Linked DNA regions of Caenorhabditis elegans. The protein of the gene in region 3 interacts with the protein of the main gene of each other region in a pairwise test. Each region holds a gene or a part of one and is shown on either strand. Other genes may lie near its edges.

The links.
Region 1: the proteins of set-10 (region 3) and lim-7 interact in a two-hybrid assay, tested with the Caenorhabditis elegans proteins (one large-scale study listed by BioGRID).
Region 2: the proteins of set-10 (region 3) and ZK546.5 interact in a two-hybrid assay, tested with the Caenorhabditis elegans proteins (one large-scale study listed by BioGRID).
Region 4: the proteins of set-10 (region 3) and sta-1 interact in a two-hybrid assay, tested with the Caenorhabditis elegans proteins (one large-scale study listed by BioGRID).

The regions. Positions count from the first base shown.
Region 1 is NC_003279.8:5,714,975-5,719,573, forward strand, and holds the start of lim-7 (LIM/homeobox protein lim-7), read left to right. Parts: upstream 1-1,599; 5' UTR 1,600-1,701; coding exon 1,702-1,837; intron 1,838-3,550; coding exon 3,551-3,598; intron 3,599-3,644; coding exon 3,645-3,709; intron 3,710-4,398; exon of another isoform or gene 4,399-4,548; intron 4,549-4,599. UniProt on the Caenorhabditis elegans protein: Probable DNA-binding transcriptional activator.
Region 2 is NC_003280.10:4,934,200-4,938,481, reverse strand, and holds ZK546.5 (C2H2-type domain-containing protein), read right to left. Parts: upstream 2,665-4,282; coding exon 2,583-2,664; intron 2,532-2,582; coding exon 2,455-2,531; intron 2,396-2,454; coding exon 2,195-2,395; intron 2,141-2,194; coding exon 2,047-2,140; intron 1,993-2,046; coding exon 1,661-1,992; intron 1,612-1,660; coding exon 1,319-1,611; intron 1,268-1,318; coding exon 733-1,267; intron 685-732; coding exon 553-684; 3' UTR 508-552; downstream 1-507. Other genes in the region: ZK546.4 (Energy transducer TonB), read right to left, coding at 1-265, 313-426; gst-30 (glutathione transferase), read left to right, coding at 3,466-3,598, 4,037-4,282.
Region 3 is NC_003279.8:15,027,180-15,032,610, reverse strand, and holds set-10 (MYND-type domain-containing protein), read left to right. Parts: upstream 1-1,902; 5' UTR 1,903-1,967; intron 1,968-2,033; 5' UTR 2,034-2,060; coding exon 2,061-2,252; intron 2,253-2,407; coding exon 2,408-2,549; intron 2,550-2,605; coding exon 2,606-2,686; intron 2,687-2,982; coding exon 2,983-3,206; intron 3,207-3,489; coding exon 3,490-3,711; intron 3,712-4,146; coding exon 4,147-4,391; intron 4,392-4,652; coding exon 4,653-4,839; 3' UTR 4,840-4,894; downstream 4,895-5,431. Other genes in the region: F33H2.8 (TPT domain-containing protein), read left to right, coding at 241-335, 408-501, 591-741, 785-909, 1,125-1,247, 1,299-1,403; F33H2.2 (Protein FAM91A1), read right to left, coding at 4,929-5,127.
Region 4 is NC_003282.8:16,662,570-16,670,354, forward strand, and holds the start of sta-1 (Signal transducer and activator of transcription 1), read left to right. Parts: upstream 1-1,750; 5' UTR 1,751-1,752; coding exon 1,753-2,061; intron 2,062-2,157; exon of another isoform or gene 2,158-2,178; intron 2,179-2,433; exon of another isoform or gene 2,434-2,454; intron 2,455-2,537; exon of another isoform or gene 2,538-2,558; intron 2,559-2,640; exon of another isoform or gene 2,641-2,657; coding exon 2,658-3,002; intron 3,003-3,015; exon of another isoform or gene 3,016-3,036; intron 3,037-3,198; exon of another isoform or gene 3,199-3,219; intron 3,220-3,394; coding exon 3,395-3,522; intron 3,523-3,645; exon of another isoform or gene 3,646-3,666; intron 3,667-3,686; coding exon 3,687-3,924; intron 3,925-3,952; exon of another isoform or gene 3,953-3,973; intron 3,974-4,092; exon of another isoform or gene 4,093-4,113; intron 4,114-4,299; coding exon 4,300-4,946; coding exon of another isoform or gene 4,947-4,983; intron 4,984-5,093; exon of another isoform or gene 5,094-5,114; intron 5,115-5,159; exon of another isoform or gene 5,160-5,180; intron 5,181-5,361; exon of another isoform or gene 5,362-5,382; intron 5,383-5,419; exon of another isoform or gene 5,420-5,440; intron 5,441-5,635; exon of another isoform or gene 5,636-5,657; intron 5,658-5,845; and 14 more. UniProt on the Caenorhabditis elegans protein: Carries out a dual function: signal transduction and activation of transcription. Activated STAT proteins play a role in repression of dauer formation.

The DNA.
Region 1 (4,599 bases), 9.3 Mb from region 3:
TAAAAAATTTAAATTACAAAATTTTGTATTTCGGTCTTTCTATTTCTTCGTGTTTTGGAAAAATATTTTTTTAAATGGAATACGATAAACTATGAAATATAACTTGTAAAGTTTGTTTTCTCTTACACCACAATAGTTGAAAAATGGCTGTAAATTTTTCACATTTCTCCCCGGTTCTAAAAATTTTCCAATATTCTGGATTAATCCAGCATCCATTTAATCATCTTATCTTTCAAATCCTTATCAATCGATGGAATCTACAGTATCCTCGAATACTTGTCCGTTATCACCTTCTCTCGCATGCATGTTCATCTTTTCATTCGTTATTTCACACCTTTTGAGGTATACAGGAAGTGGGGGAATCAGTTAAAACATACATATGTCCACGTGTCGGCTAATTTAAGAGTGCAACTCTATAGAAACTGCAAATTCACTTTTCGTACAATTTTTTTGACTAAAAGAATGAAGAGTTTGCAATACTAACGAAGAAGTGCAATACTATTAGGGACGCAAGACTAATTGGGACTTCAAGTCTATATTTCAATCGATATGAACTCTAAGAGAGACTCAAAAATAAAATAAAATAAAACATATTTCTAGTTTCTAGATAGTTTTCAATAAGGAAAATATGGCGTCCACCAGCCAAAGGAAGAATGAGGGTCAGGTTGAATCCGGATAAGAAGATATTTCCAGGGATAATCTTGTTGAATTCTCATGTTTTCTGATTTCAATTTTTTTTCTCAATTTTTTAAAATATTCATCAATGAACATAATACTTTAAACCTCTGAGAGAACCAGTCAGTTTCTGATTTAAATATCAGAAAAATGATTGTGTTAAAGATCGAAGCAAACATACCACATTTTTTCAGTATTGCAGCCATTTTTTGGAAAAGTTACATGAATAATTTATAGACTCTGAAGATGTTCTACACTTTGTGAGTTTATTGTCTTAAACTGTAGTACGCGGAGATATTAGTATGGAAGCTAAAGGAAACTAGAAAAACATTTGAAAATGTACGAGAAAATTTGACTAAAATATAGGATGGATTTTGAACTCTAAAATCTAGGGTTATGAAATTTAAACGTCCTAAGCGATTTGTAATTTAATTTTGAAACTTTAATTGTGAAACTAAAGTGAGGTCAAATTTCTCACATTACTTTCCTTAATTCTTAATTTTTTCAGGAGCAGACAATTTTGTTCAAAAATTTCGAAATTTTCTAAATGTTTAAATATAATTTTTTGCTCATTACTTCAATCTTGATGAGTAATTTCATAGAATATATTTTGCCAGTAACATTTAACTGTCTCAAAAATTTTTTTGGCATTTGAAATGTCATTTTTTAAACTTTTTCATGATCCAAATAGTTCACACAAAACTGCTTTAATCCAATTAATTACAAATAAAAGAAATATAGGTTACCATATCCACAAAATCAGGATGTTCACACTCTTATTCTATCACTTGGGTGTTCACATCCGGCTGGTTTTCTTCTCACTTCTTTCGTTCTCCTCACTTAGTAGGTGGAGTCTACCAACCAGTCGCTCGTCGTCCGCCCGCTCAATGACTCCGCCCACTTTCTTGTCTCTCCGTGGGTCCCAGGGCTCTCGGTTCTCTTTTCGTTTGTGACACTTCCAACTGTCCTATCTGTGTTTGTGTGTATCTAGTAATCAATCACAAACTTCTATATCTGTTCAACGGCATGAACATCTGTATGCGAAATGGTTATGAGCAATTCTCACTGACATCTCCAGGAACATCGGATCTCGAAATTGGTGGATCATTTTGGAAAGACGAACCGGATACCAAGTACTTGTGCCTTGATTCTCCTGTTGAACGTGAGTGTTTTTTTTTTAATTTGAAAATGTTAAGCGTGGGCCAAAATATTTCAAAGAATTTACATCCGGAAAAAATTTTTTTGTAAATTTTCTGAAAATCACAGCTTAAAAAATTCAAAACAAAAGTTAAGTTAGATTCATAAAATTTCCATTTGAAAAGACATCTAACAGATCTAAGAATACAACACCTTCTCTCAAACTCCACTTAATCTTGAAAAATAAATCTTAAAATGTCAAAATCCCTGCAATAACAAAATCGAAAGAAGGAGAGGGAGAAAATCTGGAAAAAAAGATTATTCGCACTTCTAAGCCTTAAATATCCGTCTATTTTCCCCTGAATTTTGCAACTTTTTTATCTGAAGCTCTGGTGCTCTTCCGATTCTTTTCCCATACTACTTATAGGGATGAGCCAATGAATAAATGAGCAAAGTTCCGAAAGGTGTCTGAACTTAATGGGCTCACTTCCAAAAAATTTTGAAGTCATATAACATTACTAAATTTCTTGGTAGAAAAAACCCATTTGAGCTACACATTTTTCCATGACACCTTGCTTATTCACCAGTTTGGCAAACAAAAGAATCGGGGGGTCTCACACAAAAATATATTTTGTTGATTAAACGATATGATGGGGGTGGGGAACAAATGGGAGGCTCCATCAAAAAGCTCTTAGTTCAATCAAGTTCTGAAAGTTTAAAAGAAAACAAAAATCGCTATTTCTTTCATTCCATTTGTCCCCCTCCTCTTTTACTTTTTTCTTTTCCACCTTCTTCTTGTTGTCTTAAAAACGCATAACTTCATCTGGTCCTTCGATGAAGATCTAAGCTATAATCGCCTTATGCACATCACATGTACATATCCGGTTTGAAGATTTCAACAACCCAACCAGATTTTCTCGATTTTCTTGGCCTCGAAAACTTAACCTAGAAAGTTTTCAAATAAATATATGATATTAATAAAAATTAACTTTTCACAGTTTTGTATTCCGAAAGTTTTTAAAACCTAATTTTCTTCAAAAAAAGTTTTTCTCTAGGTCAATTTTCAATTCTAATTTCAAATCGCAACACTCTCCTCCCAAATAAGTAGTTATTTGCCGCCGCTCCGATTATGATTACTGTAGTGGTGGGGTGTTTATAATTGCTTATATTAAGTAAACTTTCCTTCTTTTTTTGGGATTGTTACTTCTTGTTTGTCAACGGCCAGTTTACTTCCTAAAATAAGATGTCAAATGTTGAACAAGGGGATTATCAATAGTTTGAAATGACTACCTTTAGTTGTTATAGTTTTAAAATTAGAACATTTTAATATGTTATTTTTTAAACAGTAGGAAGCTGTCGACTTTAAATTCTTCCGAATAAAAACGGAGCTCAATAAAATTAATGACGTGGCAAAACAGTGCTGACAGAAGAGGGCAAAAATAAAATAAAAAACGTTTTGGCAGCTACTAACATCCCCAAACACCCCACAAATGAGCTATTTTATGAGTTTTGTTAGGCTCTCCCTGCCTTTCTTCACTTTTTTCTTGAAGCCATGAACCCCTTCATGACACCTAACTGGGTATCATTATCCATTTGTGCGCGTGGCCCTCCCCTCTTTCTATTACTTTTCCCTAAATAAAGCTTGAGCTCCCCTCCTCTCACAAACCCTGTAATCTTCAAATCAAAGTCGACGGGTAATTTGGGTTAGAGTAAAGTTAATCGAGCTTTCATTTTTCAGAACGTCAGCACCAACCACCGATGGCAGTTTGTGCCGGCTGTCGATTGGGTAAGCTCTTTCGGGGACTAAATTCCAAAAAATTATTTATTTTCAGAAATATCAGATCGGTACTTCCTCAGGGTCAATCCCAATCTGGAATTTCACGCTCAATGTCTAAAAGTGAGTTTTTGAACATTTTTATAACTGAAAAATGGTTTATAAGTATCTCGTCTCACTTTGAAGGATTTTATCTCAGTTTGTTTTGAATATATCAAAAATAATAAAAATACACAACCTTTTCGATAGAACAAACAACAACCGAGATACTAATTGAGTGCAGTGTAGTCTCATGGTTTTTTTTCTAAACAACAATTTCGAAAATTACACGGGGGTGGATTTTCACAAGAAAACCTAATTCATTCCAAATGATCTCATTCAAAAATGTATTGCACAATGAGCCCCTCCAACTGTCTTAATACCTTAAAGCTACAAAAGTCCAGTAAAGAGAGAATTTACACGCATGACTTGACACATTGTTTGTTCTTTTATTCAACATTTTGATGTATGTTTCTATATGTATGTAGGATTTCCATTTTGCATATTATTCAGAATTCCAACCTTTTCCCCTTTTCTCTTTTCTGCTCCTTTTGAATTATTCACCAATTTGATACCTTTATTCCGGGTCATTGTACTTTTTGCTCTTGCCCCACGACTTTTAAGCAAAGGACAAAAAGTGAATATTATACAAAAAAGGGAAGGGGGAGGAGAAAGGGCAATGATGATGAAATGAAATGAGACAAAGACGGAAAAAAAGAAAAGAAAAAAATCAAAACGTGTTGACCAGGAAGCATAAAAAGGGGGAGAAGCACGGAAGAGACGGATCAAATTACTGCGCAAATTCGCGCATTTTGTTGATTTTTTGAGTGTGAAGATTGGTGTATACAACTCACTGGGACAGAGGGACCCTTGCGTGACCAGTCAAGGTGGCAACCATCTGTCGTGTTGGAATAGGCGATGAATACCTAAACAGTAGTAGAATAGATCACGCTATTCAGTTAACTATTTACCTG
Region 2 (4,282 bases), on a different chromosome or scaffold from region 3:
GACCAACATAGACGGATGAGCTGGGTGCATTCTTTTCGGTGGATTCCGGTGCAAGGTTTCCGACAATCTCCTTTGGTTGTTGCTCAGTTGGCTGTTCATGCTTCTCATCTGACGCTGGAACCTTTACAGACTCGGGAGCAATGTCAGCAGACTTTTGAGCATCCCATGATTCAGGAGCAGTCTTGGATGGATCGATTTTCTCGCGTTCCGAAGTTGGAGCCGAGTTTGTGGGACGCGAAAAAGCCAAATAATTCCAAAAATCAGACTGAAACAAAACGGAAATTCGATGTTAAATCCTCCTAGTATTCTTACAATTTTATCTCTGAAATTCCAAACAACAATCGCAATTCCAACAGCAGCAACTGTCACAATCGCTTCTTTTCGAAAACTTCTCCTCGGAACTGCTGGTGTGATTGCTCGCGACATTTCGATTTGATTAAATTGTGAAATAATTGAAATATTTGGTTTTTCCTGACTTATTATTGTTGGATGTACGTGAAAAACTGAATTTAATTTATTTTTATTCGAAAAAAAAATTATTTATATTTAAGACTAATCAAAAAGTGGTTGCCCGTTGATTTCAATCACCCCTTCATCGCCTTCGACATTTTCGATTATTTGATGATCCACATCTTCGACATGTTCTTCTTCTAGAGTATCATCTTCGTTCACTAAGATCATTTGCTGAAATTTACGAATTTTATAAAAAACAATTTTCAAAATTCCACTCACCACATTACCCATATTATCCCAGTCATTTCCTAGATCCATTTGAAACTGATCATATTCATTTTCAGCAACTTCTCCTTCAATTTCAGCATTTTCCAATGCCATCATCTCATCGCCCTCTTCAATTATCTGCTCCTCGCCTTCATGATTTATTTCAAATTGAGGAACGAGGTGATGATGATCGATAGTTCCATCTGGTTGTTGTAATGGGACCAATTGAATTTTCGTTCCATTCTCATCGTAAATATAATAAGTTTCTCTGAGATCATATCCTTCTGGTAAGAGAACTTGAATATTTCCATGCTCATCATGAATCATTTGTGGGAAGTTGTGTTGTTCTGCTGCTTCATTTGCATCCTCATCTGGAATCATTGCTTGGGATGTAGATGGAATATCATTCGGATCTTCGGAGCTTTCAACAACGACTTCTTCATGTTGAGTTGGAATATGAAGACGTCGATGTTCGATGAACTCCGGACGATTGTCGAATTTAGAATCACAGCACGTCCAAAAGATCTCACCATTTGATACTTCTAATCTGCAAAAATATTTTTTCTAGATATTTTTCTTGTTTAAAACAAATAATTACTCAAAGGTAGGGAGACCTCCTGTCTCAACCATACAAGAAAACGAAGATTTCATATGAACTCGTTCCATGTGCTTGAACAAAAGACGAGGTCGATTCAACTTTAGTCCGCATTCTGGACATGTAACTCGTCCGGCAGTGTCTCCATCAGAAATCTCTCCAAGAATTGGCAGTCGAATTGACATTTCATCAGCCATTTCAAAATTTGTTCGTCGCCGCAATCGTTTTTGTTCTTCATCATATTGGTAAAATGTTCGACGTGATTTCAGGTATTCTGGTACATTTGCCCATGCTGTCTGAAAATGAAAAAATTAATCGAAAATGTTGAATTTAAATCTAACTTACATAATTATGAACATCGTTTTTATGGAGATTCAACTCTGACATACTGTGAGAGATATGACCGCAGAACTTGCAAATATATTTTTTTCGTCGGGTGTGATGCGATGTAACGTGGGCTCTTAGCTTCCCATCATCAGGAAATACTAATGAGCATAATTCACACGTCAGATTCTGAACCTCGTGAGCTCCTAATCGATCAATAAGCTGTAATCGAAGCTCGTCATTCTTTTTGTGTGCTCTTTGATGAGATTCCATGGCTGTTGGATGTGCTATGTTGACGAGCATATTACAGATTGTACAAGCTTCATATTGTTCTCCTCCTACAGTCGGCTGATCTTAAAATGTACATTTTATTATATATTTATTTATTTTTTTCTAATTTTACTTACTTCCAGCAAGAACAGCTTTTACAAGTTGATGTGCTCTTGCTTCGTGTCTCATTTTATCCATTGTTAGTCGATCGCGAGATCGGAGCCGTTCGAACTGAAATCTTTATTTTGTTTTAAAAAAAGTTACAATTTTCTAAATTTAAAATACCTCTCTTTTCTTCCATTCTCCACAAATTGTATTAATATCTAGCATGATATCGTCTAAATTCTGCAGGTGACACTCTCTTCCATGCTTTTCAAGTCCTGATGCAGTCAAAAAAATTTTCTCCTCACAAAATCGGCATGGATAAGATTCGACATCGTTAGCGATTCCTGGCAATTTCTTCGGTTTGAAGTTGGATGGGTGATTCTGAATATTAATAATTTTTCCTACAATAATTTAATACTTAAATTAAATAACAAATCTACCTCATTTACAGTCAATACTCCTGATTGTACTTCATATCCTTCTCGTTTAACTTTTTCACCTTCGTCGTCTCGAACATCTATAATGATTTGAATTATGACTTCTGCGACTAAAAACAATATTTTTATACCTTTCCGCGTATGTTTAAGCGCTACATTTTTTCGTATGATTCTTGGCGGTTTTCGTGGTCCTCCACCTATAATTGCAGCCATCTAAAAACAAAAAAGTTTACTAAATTGTAGAAAGTTAGAGGAATTAAAACTAAAAAATACATGGCAAAACCGATAAAAATTCAATAAATAAAATTTAATGTAAGTGCGCTCCATTGGATGCAAGCGAGAGAACGGAGACGCAGCGTTGGAGTCGACTTTGTGGGAAGGGCCACTAGACGAGTAAATTGGACCAAAAAGTATTAAAAATAATCGTATATTTTTTGTTCGGTAAGCAAAACTGTACGTACTCTTCATGTCTTCAGCTCTGAATTCCAATTTTGATGTAAATTATGAAAATAACAACAAATCCAAGACAATTGCGAGATCTACAGTACTCCTTTAAATCTAGTTGGTCGTTTCGAGACCGGGTACCGTATTTTTTCGTAAATTGCCAGGTAATTAGTGAAGAACGGAAATTTAAATTAATTTTTTTTATTAATTAAAGTTTACATTGTAATAGTCATTTTGTTAGATATGAACTGTTCTCAATTCTTCATTATTACACTAGTGTCTCAAATATGCTGACTATAAAAAAGAGCATTCTCAAATCACGTAAGACCAACAGAATCACACCTTAATATTAGCAAGGATGATAAATGTGGCAAGACGCGTCTCTAGTTTCCTCGATTTTCTCCCAATTCCAAGCAATTGTCATCATTTTGGCAACCTTTCTCGTACATTTTTAATGCCGCCTTACTTCGAAAAAAAAACACGATGAGAATGACAAACAAATTGAATGAAGGAGACAGTATAAAAGAGAATGTTTGAATTGGTCTTTCATCATTCGACTCCAAACACACTATGGTCCACTATAAACTTTCATATTTTCCAATTCGATTTGCTGGAGAAATTCCACGACAGATTCTGGCATATGCCGGGCAAAAGTTTGAGGATCACCGGATTCCACAGGCTGATTGGCCAGCTCTCAAGTCGAGTGAGTTTTTGAAACTTTTTTTTTCAAAATACTATTTATTCGTGATTAAAATGTTGTGCCGCTCTAACCGCTGTGGGCGTGGCGAGATCCACTTGATAAAATCTTGATTAGACCTGACACCAATATTCTGGGTCTTATTATAAATCATTGATTTTTGTTCACAAAAACTGACCTGAAAGCAATCTCAGAACTACCTTTTTTGGTTCAAAGTTCCCGTATAAATCTAACTTTTTTGTAGGGACCTATTTAGAAGGTGCTCTTTGAAATGAAATATGTATAGTTCCAAAATCGAGATATATGTTAAAGTATCTTCCATGTAATAGAATAACAAATACGATCACTTTTAATTGCGAGGCTGGCGGGATATTTGTGTACAGGTTTTTCTAATTTAATTTTTTTATGTCTAAAAATGTTGTATTGAATTTTCTATATTTCCAGCTATGCCGTTCGGAACTCTTCCTGTCCTTTATCAGGATGGGAAACCACTTGGACAATCCCATGCAATTTCTCGTTTTCTTGCTCGCCAATTTGGAATAAATGGAAGATGTCCATGGGAAGAAGCTCAAGTGAATGCAATTGCAGATCAATTCAAAGATTATCTCAATGACATCCGATCTTATAATCTCGTGAAAATGGGATTTGCACAAGGAGATGCCGATGCTCTTTACAAGGACACATTCCTTC
Region 3 (5,431 bases):
AAAGCTCCTAATCCGAAATTGTGACATCGGATTTTGGCACAAACAAGACTTTTCTGCTACCGTACTCGTAGGTATTGTGTCAATATCTTCCGTTTTCGGTAAGTTTAGTGTTTTTTGTGTAGAAGAAAACTACAAGACACATATGATAGTTCACCGTGCGGAAAATGTAGCTTCAAAAATTCATTTGTGCCAAGTTCAAAAACATGCAAAAAAAAAAGTGCCACGTGGAAATCTTTTCAGATACTTCTCCCGGCAGCCGGTGCCAAACTACTCGAGGTTCTGATTGCCTCTCTTGCTAACTCACACAACAGAACCGGAGAGCTGTTTCTTGTCAGGTACGATTCGCTCAAGAATAGTATTTAACCTCTGGGATGTGAAAACTCTATAATGGTTGTTTTCATTTTCAGAAGTTTCGATTTCCTATTTGCCGGATGCATTCTCTTCTACTACTCGACGCGTCAAAATGGGAAGGGCTTGACTAAAACGGACTGTTGGATGATTGTAAGATGGCCTAAAATGTAGAAAAATCGGTCGTGGGTGTTTGGGAGTGGCTGAGTTTTCTTCTGCGGCGTAATGCTAGTTTATTGCAGGCTCCCCTTGCGATCGCAGTGTCAATAGCCTGGCTTGAACCTGGACAAATGGAATATACGGGAGTTTCTTTGATGTCCGCATTTCTGCTCCCAATTTCAAGAGCCCTCTCGTTCATTTTACTAAAAAACTCGATGGATTGTTTAGGAAAAGGTTTAAAAATATTTTTCTCTTTATCAAACTAAGAGTTTTCTAGGTCATATCAATGCTTTTATGCTGGAATACACTCGATTTGTTACTATTCTACTCTTCCTACCGGCTCTTGTTTCGTATTTATTGAGCAGTGTGGAGGTCACTGCAAGCTGGGAGTCTATCGATTATGTGAGTTCTGGGTGAAAGAGATTGTGAGGGAATTGCTAAATATCAAACCAGCATATGACACAATTAAACTTGTAATATTATAACTGTTCGGTAGTTACATTTCTGAAAGTTATGTTTGGACATCGAAAAGATAATCTTTTCGAAAGATTGCTTTTTGTCAGTGAACTATCTTTTATACAATAGAAATACATACAACATTTTTTGGTTGTTTCCAGGTGCTTATGTCTCTCTCCTTCATATTCATGATCTGCAATCTCTACAGTCATCTCTGGCTTACCTTATCCCTATCACCTAGTGTCTACTTGGTTTTAGAAAACTCCAGAAACCTATTGGCATCGGTAGTTATTTTGATTAAAATCCGAATTTTGTATGAATTTTGATTTTTACAGTGTGCTCAATGGATTATTCAAAATATGGCTCACCCGAGCCTAATTGCATTTGGCGGCAAAATTGTCGGGTTTGCAGCAATTTTCAGAATCTGGACAAGATCTTAATTAAATTGTTTTTGTTTTCGAAAAAGAGACCTGTTTGTCTAATAAGATGCGTTTCTCAAAAAAAAAAGTTCACCACAAGCACAATTGGGCTATTTTCAATTGAGACAATAAATTGGGGAAAAAAGCAACAAATTTAGGTCTGCTACGAATCAAAAGCTTGTCACGTAGAAATAATTTTAAATGTTCCAACCAGTTTTATTCTAAACACATCACCAGGTCTGGGTAATCATTTCAATGTAAAAATGCAAGTACGCTCTACCGAATCGATATTATTATACTCTTCTTGTAAACGCTAGAATATGTGCAAGGACAAATGATGGTATTTATTGACTAGAAATATCGCCTGGAGATATCTCATTTGAATAATTTTCTATTATCGATTTCTTTTCACACTTTTTTACTAAAATTTAGAGAAGTAAAGATTAGGAAACTACCACGTAGCTTTACTATATTGAAAAATTGCCATGTCATTTACATTTCAAGGACTTCATTGCAGATTCAAACACAAACTTGGGAATTGTCACCTGGCGACCCACTCCGAATTTCAATTTCAAACTATTCTCTGTAAATATTTGTTTTTCTCAAGATCTAATTCTACCGTAACCTACACTTACAGTAATCCATTTTCAGCTTAAACCTCTATTTCTCTCTCAAAAAATGTACACAGTTGCTCGTGAACAACCGCTTGCCGCTGTGCTCTCTCCACAATTCTCGGAATTGTACTGTGCCACGTGTTTTCTGGAAATCGACAGCTCACAAGAAACGGAAATTCTGACATGCGACGATTGTTTAGCGGTATCATATTGTACATTGAAATGTCAACGAAAAGATTGGAAAAGTTGTCATCAGGTACTGTTTGGGTGATACTTTGAAAAAAAACATTAAAATTGGAAAAAAAAATCCCTTGGGAAAATTTAGAAGAAATTTTCAAAAATCCACTTGGCAAAATTTCAAATAATTTAAGAAATTATAAAAATCCGATGCATATTTCCAATGTTTTGCAGTTCGAATGTGAAATCCTGCGTTGCCAAGGCTCCTCAACTCCAATGACACTGACCATGAAGCTATGCATCAGAGTCTTATTGGCATCTCGTTCCACACAGACGCCAAGTTTCAATGGGGCTGTTTTAGAAGATTTGGAGACAAGTAAGATATATTACCTGAAATAGGACTGATCTTGACACACATACCGATATTTTCAGATTACAAAGAATTTCGATCAAGTCCAGAGCATAATCAATTTTTATCAGATGTTTTAACGATTATCAGCAGTTCAGGGCAGAGTGAGTTGAAAAGTTTTAGTTATTTTTGTTTCACTGTAGTTTTTAGAGGAGCATATTAGTTTGCGTGGTCCCAATTTAAATACTTTCAGTAATAAAATTCACGACCACGTAAAAACTTTGCACCTTTTCTCTTGCAAATAGTTCGATTTTTGAGCCAAACTACTGACTTTGGGTTCTGACGCGAAGGAACAAGTTTTTCCAGCTATCGTAACCAAAAGTAGAGTGATGTAGCTGTAGCTAAAATAAGTCGTTTTTGGTAGAACCCTTTTTTTTTTAATTTTTGCCACTTTTTTCAGACATTTTCCCAACATCTTTGGAGACAAACAAAACTATCGGAATAATCTGTAGTGTTTTGTGCAATTCGTTCAGCATTATCAATGAGAAACGTGTTGAGCCGATTGGAAGTGGCCTATATGTGGGCGTTGCCAAGCATAATCATTCGTGTGCTTCCACGTCACATGTTGTCTTTGAAGGAAATCAAGTTTTTCTGAGAACCAATCAAGAGGAATATTCAAAGGAGGTTATGATTTTTATTGATGTATCTTTTCCAAATGGGATTTCAAAATCAAAAAGCAATTGCTCGGAACTTTTATCACCCCAGATTGAAATTTCCGGGTGAATTGCACCAATCAGGCCTGCCGGTGTTTCGGTTCTTTTTACAAACCTAAAACGACAAATTTTATTTTTTCGGTTTTTAGATTTTTCTGTTTTACTAAAAAAAACCAAAAATTGACAACAAAATGTTTGGCGGCACCCATGCAAAAAATTATTTCAACGGCATTACTAAACGCAATACTCTGCAGCTGACAATATCGTACGTTTCCCGAATGCTTCCAACATCCGAACGTCGGAAAACAATCCGCGGAGTCCATTTTCTGACGTGTCAGTGTGAAATGTGCAAAAATGAAGAACTGGATCTAATCGGGTTAAGCTCAAAATGTCGAACAAAAAATTGCACGGGATTTGTGAAGGGATCTGGAAACTGTTCAGTTTGTGAGAAATTAGCGTTTTTGCCCTTTGAACAGGTTAGTTATTAGGATCGACTGTCGATTAAACGTTTTTGGTTAACTGCCGAAAAGTTTTGGAAAATTGCCAAAAAGCCTTTGACAACCTGCCAAAAAGTTTTGGAAACATGCCAAAAAGTTTTGGAAAACTGTAAAAAAGTTTTGGTAAATTGCCAAAAAGCCTTTGACAACCTGCCAAAAAGTTGTGGAAACCTGCCAAAAGTTTTGGTAAGTTGCCAAAAGTTTTGGTAAATTGCCAAAAAGTTTTGGAAACCTGCCAAAAGATTTGGTAAGTTGCGAAAATGTTTTCGTTAGTTGCCAAAAGTTTTGGTAAATGGCAAAAAAATTTCGAAAACGACAAAAAGTTTTGGTAAAATCCCAAAAACTTTTGGGTACCAGTTATGGTAAATTGAGTACTCCTTTTTTTTGAAAAACATGAATTTTTTCAAATTGCAGAGCATCCATTCAACATTAAATCTTTTGGATATTATTGAAAATCTCCATAAAACAAATCAATTCACAACAGTACAAGAATTGGCTTACCTTCAAAAACTACGTGCTGACTATCAAGACATCCTGGCGGAATGCAACGTGGCAATTTTGCAACTCGACGAGCAGATTGCTTATTGTAGCAGTTCACTGGAAAATGTGAATGACTTGGATTTGGACTTGATCGCTGGAAGAGGCAGTGAGCATTTTATGTAAGTTTATCTTAATATCCTAGCTCAGTTGATGTAGAAAAAGTATACGTAAATAACATTTAAGACGAATCTGATTCTAGTTTTCTGAAGAATTTTTTTTTCTAAAATCATGAAAATACGAACATTTTCCACAAAATTGAAACATTTTATTTCTGGAAAAAACCGAAATATTGAAAGATCTAATTTTTGAGTTTCTAGAAAATTTATAATTTCCGGAAACGGGAATAGATGAATTTAAAGCATTACTTAATATATTTTCAGAACTCGTCTTGGGATCGGCGCTCCAGAAGTGACCCGTCGTTTGTATATTGGATGTAAATGTATATCTCGTATTTCACCATCGAAAAGATCTGTAAAATTAGTAAAACTAATCAAACTTGCCATCGAATCAAGCATTATTAGCCATGGAACACATCATTCAATCACTAATTATTTGAGAAATCTTTGATAATGTTCTTGTAAAATCACATTTATTTTTAATCCTCTGATAAATAGTTTAATTTAATTAACATAAGCATACAATATATATATCACAATTCAAATAGTTCCATAAGAAATCAGCTGACTAGAATCAAAGAAAATGGCTCGAACGGGCGGCACGATTTGTGCGTTCCGCTGTTGATCGGTTCCTTCGACAAACAATTGTGATCCTTTGATGAGCCCGTTGTTCGCTGTGTCAATTAACTCGTTTATCATTCCAACCACTTGTTTGTTCGAGTTTTGGATGTTCGAGCGGCTGGAAATAAAACTAATTTACGAAAAAAATTAGGGCACGCACATTTTATTTTAAGTTCTCTAAAATATCTTGCCACGTGGACGGCTATAAAAAGTTTTGCACATGAACTTCCAGGTTCTTTAAGTGGTTTTTTGTATTACGAATATCGTATATTCTTTATCAGTGCTGCATACAGTGGAATTTATTGGATGCAGATGCCGCACTAATAGAAAATATACGGTAAATTCCCAATGCTCTGGTAAAACAAGTCCGTTTTGTTGCCGGAGAAAGTGTCACGTAATCGAAAATAGTTATTTTGTTGTTG
Region 4 (7,785 bases), on a different chromosome or scaffold from region 3:
TCTGTAAATTTTGCTGTGCCTTTTGTGTTATTTCAATTAAAAATTGCCATTGATACTTGACTTATCTGAAACAAGATACATTTTTTCTAAAAATTTGAACTTGTAAGTCTTATAAGCTCTATTAATTACCTAGTTTGAACAAAAAACGAAACTTCAGCTCACTAACTAGTGAAATCGAACTTCGAAGTAATGTTTGACAATTTTTGCTTTCCGACAATAGCAGCATTAAACTTGAAAAAAATTTAAATATTGAGAAACATTATTCGATTCATATGTAAGCAATCTGAAACAATATATATGTTTTCTAAAATATTATACTACCTTCATTTTCAACACTGTATTACCCCATTTTATACATTCAGACAATATCAGTAATCTGAAACAGTATTGTTTTCTTCTCAAGTTTGAAATCTTTAAGGTTCCATATAGAAATAGCCCCAGTATAATTTTTTTTTCAATTTCTTTTTCCCGGTATATTCAGATTACTTGTCAGATTGTTATAAAATTTCCAGACTCTAAGCCAATTTTAAAACACGCAAAATTATTTCAGCTTGGCCGAAAAAAAATTAAAAAAAACTAAATTTTCGGTTTCAACACCACATTTTATAATCCTCAAAATGCTAGAACAGTAGTGAGAAATAATAATAGAACTTCATACACTCAGAATAAAAAACTGGAATAAATCTAGCAACGTATAAATAAAATGTTGGTATTTTTAAAGACAACTTGAAACAGTGGAAAAATGTTAAAATTTTCCAAAATTTCCGTCAAATCGTCGTTCACCCAAAATTTGAAAATTTTCCAGATTTTTCAAATTGTTTTCCAATAAAAAATATTTGAATAAAAACCACAAAAACATACATACTTTCGAACATTTTTAGAACATTTGAACAGTAATTTGTCGCGTCGAGACCCGATACAGTAATTTTCGCGCAAAATTTCACGGTTGGGTAATACAAGTAGAACCTTAAATGTTCATGTTCAGCTCATTTTATAATAACTTGAAAAAACCACTACTGTTTCAAAATTAATTTGAACGATTTTTTTTTTGAAAAAAAAAACATATTTTTCTCTAATCCCTCAATAATATCTCCATTTTTTTCCGTCCCCCCAATCATCACAGATATCAGCTGAGACAGGGGAAAAGTGGTGTGAAAACACACAAGTCTCTGCGTCTAGCGGTGTGTAACACTGTCTGCGTCTCTGTGCTCTCTTTGATACTCTCTCCCGTGTGTGTGTGTGCTCCTGGAGCTCTTATACATTTCCAAGTGTTTCTGCTCTCTGCATCTCTTGCCCATTTTCCGCTTTTTTGAGCCAACAACTTCTCATTAGTTTTTTCCTTCGAGTTCTTGTGCAGAGCCACGGCTCTTTCAACAACTCGCACAAATTGAAAGTTTTCGCAATTTTTTCTTGCATTGCACGTACATATTTTCTTTTTTTTTTTCATAATTATTGATGAAAATGAATATGTTTTGTCAAGCGAATATGCTACATTGAAAGTTTTCAGAAACAGTGAAAAATCAAATTGAAATTAACAAAATCTTTCAAAATTTAATCACTTATTTGAAACAGTAAAAAATTTTTTAAAGTATACGTCGATTCTGAAAATACACTGAAAATGAAATAAAATTCTTGAAACTGTAAAAAAATTTTTAACCAATTTTTTTTCACAAATTTTTCTTTGAAAACGTTTCCTTTTTATTACCTCCTTGTCTTCCCATTCCCTTCATTAAAAATCTGAAATTTCCAGACATGATGGGCTCATCGTCGCAAGAGCTTCAAACAGCTCTAACCGACGTCTCAAAGACCTGCCATCACTTGTGGGAAGAGAATAAGGACCTCCAAGGCAGATTTGTGAATGAACTCGGCGAGCTTCAACGTCTGCAAATGGTCATTGCACAGCTGGAACAGCAACAGAGACTAGAAAATGTATTCACTGTGAAACAGCAAATGACAGAGTTACAGAAAAGAGCAGCCACACTTTATGAGCATTTGACACAGAAAAGAAATGATATTGTCATTAAACTTAATGATGGCACCAATTTTGCGACGATGCTACAGGTTGGTTCTTCTAATGTGAAAAAATATGAAAAAAACATAAAAAAAATTTTACTGTTTCAAAGTTTTGTGAAATATGAATTAAAATTTTTTACTTTACTTGACTGTCGAAGACCATTTCCATTAAAAAACTCTAATACAAGATTTACTTTTTTGAAAAATCCTTCAAATTTTGAAGAATTTTGCATGTTCAGTAAATTCATGCTAAAAATATTTTTATTCTTTTAATGTTTCAAGTGAATGTTTTGTTTAAAAAAAGCATTAAGAAATCTTTTAATATGAAATTACATCAAAAATGAACTGAAATACAAAAATTAATTAAAAATTTAATGTTTCCCATGCATTTCATATATTGAACGCGCGAAAATGTCATACTTTAAAACTGGCCTGCAATCTAGCTCTCTTATCTGAAAAAAAGTTAGTTATAATATTTACAGTTTCACACTTTTATCAAATTTAATCTTTTTTTTCCTTTTACATTGATTTTGCATAAAATTTGACAATTTTTTTTAAAGAGAAATATTTTTAAAAAAATACTGTTTCACAGTTTAATCAAATTTTCTATGCGTTGCAATATTTTAATCAATCTTCATTTCCAGACCCAACTAATTGGCGAAAAGCTGTTCTCCTGGAAAAATGCCCAAAAACTTGCCCAAATCGGAATGCCTTTCGATAATCGCGAACAGCTGCTTGATGAAATTCAAATTGAATTCGAATTTCTCGCTGATCAAAACTGGCAGCTTAACATGTTCTCGTGTTGGATGCTCGACTTGCTCCGACGTGCTCCACAGTTAAATGATGGGCTCGCTCAGGCAACAATTGGAAAGTTGACTGCAATTACAGAACAATTGAACAAATTACTTTTTATGCTGGTTTCACAGAGTTTTATTGTTTCCGTTCAACCGGAACCTGTTTTGAAGACTCAACATAAATTTGTCACTGAGGTTTGTTTTTTAATGGAAATTATACATGTCAAATTTTGGTGGGTCCCGCCGCGAAAACCACACCGTCGTGACGAGACCCAACTTAGTTAGAATTCAAGCAAATTATAAGAAACAATAAAAAAAAATTCAAAAATTTTAATTAAAACTTTACCGTTTCAAAAGTCATTCAAATAAATATGTAAGTCATACTCAACAATTTTATTTAAGAAGTTCAATTCGAATATAATGTGTGCCACGCATTTGTTCAGCTTGAAAATTTCTGGGTCCCACCACAAAAACTACAGTTCCACCCCACCTAATTTTACGGGTTACTGTAGTTTCCGCTGTGGGACGCAGCAATTTCAGAATCCTGATTTTTCAATAAAATTACAAAAAAAAACTAAAATTTCCAGGTCCGTCTTCTCATTGGCGATAAGCTGGGAATTCGTCAACACCTGGTGAACACAAATGTTTCAGTGAAAATTATAGCAGAAGATGAAGCCAAGCAGTTGAGTGTTGACTATGATGCACATAAGGAAATGTGAGTTTTTTTTAATGAAAAATTTGAAACAGTAAATTTTTGAAAAATTGAGAAAATTTTTTTTTCTAAAACTTATACTTTTTCGTATTATTTTTATATACTTTTCTTATTTTTTGTGGTTAATTTGTAGTTGTATCACTATATTCAACACTAATATTTTTCAGCCGTAACAACAAGACAGTTGGCACAATTTCCAATGATTTCGAGAAGCTCACAATGAATGAAAGAGGACACTTGGCGGCAAAATTCAATAATTCAAAATTGACAAGAATTGCACACAGAAAACCGCCCCCAAAAGGAGCATCTGACTTGAAATGTGCAGCAAGTATGCAGGCAGCTACTGATCAGAAATATGCTCTTTTATTCTTTATTACACCTTTTCAAATGGGTAATTTGAGCAAAGTAAGTTGTTGATATTTCAATTATGACTTGATTTTTTTTGAACGTAGTCAGTAACTCAAACTCAAATGCAAAATCTTTTAAAAACAACGTGAAACAGCAAAACATTTATTTTTTATTTTTTCACTGTTTCAACAAAAAGTTTAAAATTTATTTCAAAATTTGAGTCTGATAAACGAACAATGGTTGAACCAAACATTTCCAACATTTCTTTCGGTTTTCACTTTGAATTACTGAAATTTTCTAACTGGATTAGTAAAAGCAGTAATTCTATATTCAAAAAAGTGTAAAGAAACTTGAGAATTTTCACTGTTTCAGCTACTCTTAATTTTCAAAATTTAATATGTCCTCCAATTTCTATCAATTAAAATTTAACAGGAAGAACAATTCGACGTTTGGACACTTTCTCTTCCAATAATGGTTACAGTACACGGATCTCAAGACTGTGACGCGCAAGTTGCAATTCTCTGGCACCGCGCATTCGCCTCAATCAGCAGAAATCCAAATACAACTGATGTGACAGCTGTGACATGGGACAATCTAGCAATAATGCTTCGAAACAAGTTCTCCTTATTCACGGGAGCACGTCGTCCACTTTCAGATTCAGATTTGGCATATTTAAGTGAGAAAATGTTAATGCCAAATGTGGCAGATCAGAAGCCAATCACATTTCATCGATTCGCAAAACAGGCAATGAGAGATGACTTACCATTCTCATTTTGGGAATGGTTTTTCTCAATAATGCAATTAATCAAACAAAAACTGCTCAAATTCTGGGATGAGGGATGGTGCATTGGATTTATTTCAAAAAATGATGCGTCTCAAAGTATGATGATGTGTCAGCACTCTTCATTTTTATTGAGATTCTCTGACAGTCAAACTGGTGCTGTATCGATTGGTTTTGTTTGTGAAGAGGCTGATGGACAAAAGATTCCATTTCATTTGGCACCTTTTACTATTAAGGATTTGGATCAATTGTCACTGGCAAGTCGTATTGCTTCATGTCCACAATTGAAGGATATTCGGTTAGTTTTAGACGCGAAAAGTTTACCATGTTGTTAAGTATGCTTAGTTACGGTCAAAAATGGAAATGTTTAAAAAAAATTGGAAAAATGAAAAAAATTATACTGTTTCACTAAATATTTTATGTGGTTAAGAAATTGGACAAAAAATAAAAAGTTCAAAAATACTACTTTTTCATTGAAGAATCATAAATAGCCTCAATTGCAATAGTTTGATATTTCTGTAACCACGAAAGTGAATTGAATTTTCACGCGATTACTGGGACGTAAGTATCGTACCTGCCTACGTACCTGCCTACCGCCTATTTTCTGCGCCCTGGCGGGAAATTATGTGATCTATGTTCTCACCGTCCAAAAAAAAAAAAACTTCAACTGTTTCACTTAAGAATTATATAAGTTGTTCCTTCTTTTTTTAATGTTAAGAAAATACTCCTTCATCTTTTCTAATTATTATAATTTGATTAAACTCTTTTCAATCAGTGATCAATTTAAACAAAAAATGTTAAAATTAAAGTCAGAAGTGCCAAATAAAAAAAAAGGGTAAATAAAAGTTAATTTTAGGAGTGAAAACTTAACAAGATGTTAAGTTTGTTCAGTTACAGTAAAAAATAAGTGTGAAGAAAATTGAAAAAATGAAAAAAAATTATACTGTTTCACTAAATACTTTTATCATTTGGTTTGAAGTTATTGCATTCTTATTGCATTCTCTTTCATAACAACAATTTTCGGGTCTTACCACGTTTTGAAACCTTTGAATTTCAAAATTTTGCTATGAAAACTGGCACATTTAAACAAAACAAATATTTTTTATGTGGTTAAGAAATTGGAAAAATTTGAGAAAAAGTTCAAATTTTCTACTGTTTCATTGAATAATCATAAATAGCTTCAATTGCAATCGTTTGATATTTCTAATCTTTGTGAATCACCCTGAAAAATATATATAAATAATGTTCACATTTTTCACATTCACATCAGTACTAAGAAATACACCTTCTTGCCTTGTGCTTACCTACCTACCACCTATTTTCTGCGGCCCGGCTGGAAATTATGTGATTTATGATTTCACCGTTCAGGCTGAAGCACTTTTGATAATATTTCTGAACGTGGATATAAATTATGTCAGCAGTTATTTTGAACAAAATTAACAAAAATTTGAAAAAAAACTTCAACTGTTTCACTTAAGAATTATAAAAGTTGTCCCTTCTTTTGTTAATGTTGCAATTCCGAAATACTTATTACAACAAATGCATCATTATAATTTGATCTAAATCTTTTGAAACTGTGATCATTTTACAAAAATATTCAAATGAAAGTTAAAATTGCCAATTTAAATAAAATACAGGAATTTAAAAAAATTTTTTTTTTTTCTATTGTTTCACTAAATAATTTTATATGGTTTTTTTCATTGAACGATATTGAAAATGGCATCAATTGTATAATTGTTAAATACACTTTTCTCCGTACTTTTTAGGTCTCATCACCATCTCGATACTGTGATTTTTAATAATTTATTATAAGAACTGTCAGCACAGCAGTTTTGAACAAAAAGTTTCATTTCCAAATATTTCATTTTTCTACTGTTTCATTGAATAATTATTAAAAACATCAGTCCCATTTTTCTGATATATTTTTTAAAAATATTTTTTGGATCCAATTAGTAAACATCATGAAAGTACATGAAATGTTAACATGAACACTTTCTATAACTGGACACCTCCTGCCTGCCTACCTACTTGCCTACCGCCTATTTTCCGTTTTTACTCCAACTGTAATTTTTTGAATTTTCTCGTTATAGGCAAAAGTGGGTTACAAATGACACTTTTTAAAATTGGATAATAACGGTGTGAAAATAGAATGAATGCAGAAACATGCGCTCGTGAATAATAACTAACTGAAACTGGGTGGAATTTTTACTAAAATAAAATCCGGAAATTGTGAAAACTGCACGGAGTAACTCAAAAAACTAATCGTTTTTATAAAAATTCTAAGGCAAAAAAGTTAGCCTGTCTGCCTACGGTGTAATTCTTCAAGAAAGTCAAATTTTGAAATTAGTGAATTAAAAAAAAATTATGCTGTTTCAGGTTGTTGATAAATTATCGGTTAATTTCTAACATCAGTAAACATCTCACATCTGGTCGAAAGTTTGAAAATATTAGATACAATCGATGTAAGGGCTGCTATGTTGGGCCGAAAATTACTGTTTGACTATAGGCAAGCTACGCCTGACGTGTGCCTTCTACCAGGGGAAGAATGTGTTTCATTTCTTTGCCATTAAATTAATTGAAATAATAACACTTACATTTAAATTTTCGGCTTAGTTGAAACAATGGTAGGCAGCAATGTAGGCAGAACGACTTGCCTACCTACAGCTTCAACAAGGCCTTAGCGCCTACTTAGAAAGCCTGATGAATTTAAAGCAATTTATTTTGGAAAAATGCCAAAGCATGTTTCAAGTTGTTCATTTTTCAAAGTCTAATATTCAAAAATATTAGTGAATCACTCAGTTTTTTTTTGAAAAAAAAACAAGGTCTCGCAACGGTTTATAATTCTTATTTTACTTTGAAAAATAACCGCCAGCCTATTAAAAATACGAATTAAAAAAAAACGCAAAATGAAAATATTTTTCTGTTTCACTGAAAAGAGATAAGATCATGGCTTAGAATTCGGACAATGCCTCTTCAAAAAATGACAAAAAATGTTTCAAATTGTCTATTTGTAAATCATGTTTCTGAAAAATTTAAATTTTTCCAGAAGTCGCAGATTTTAGAGTCGAGACCCAATTTTTAAGGTTTGACAAAACATTGACTTGAGCTGTAATCTCTCAAAATACATTGTAGACATG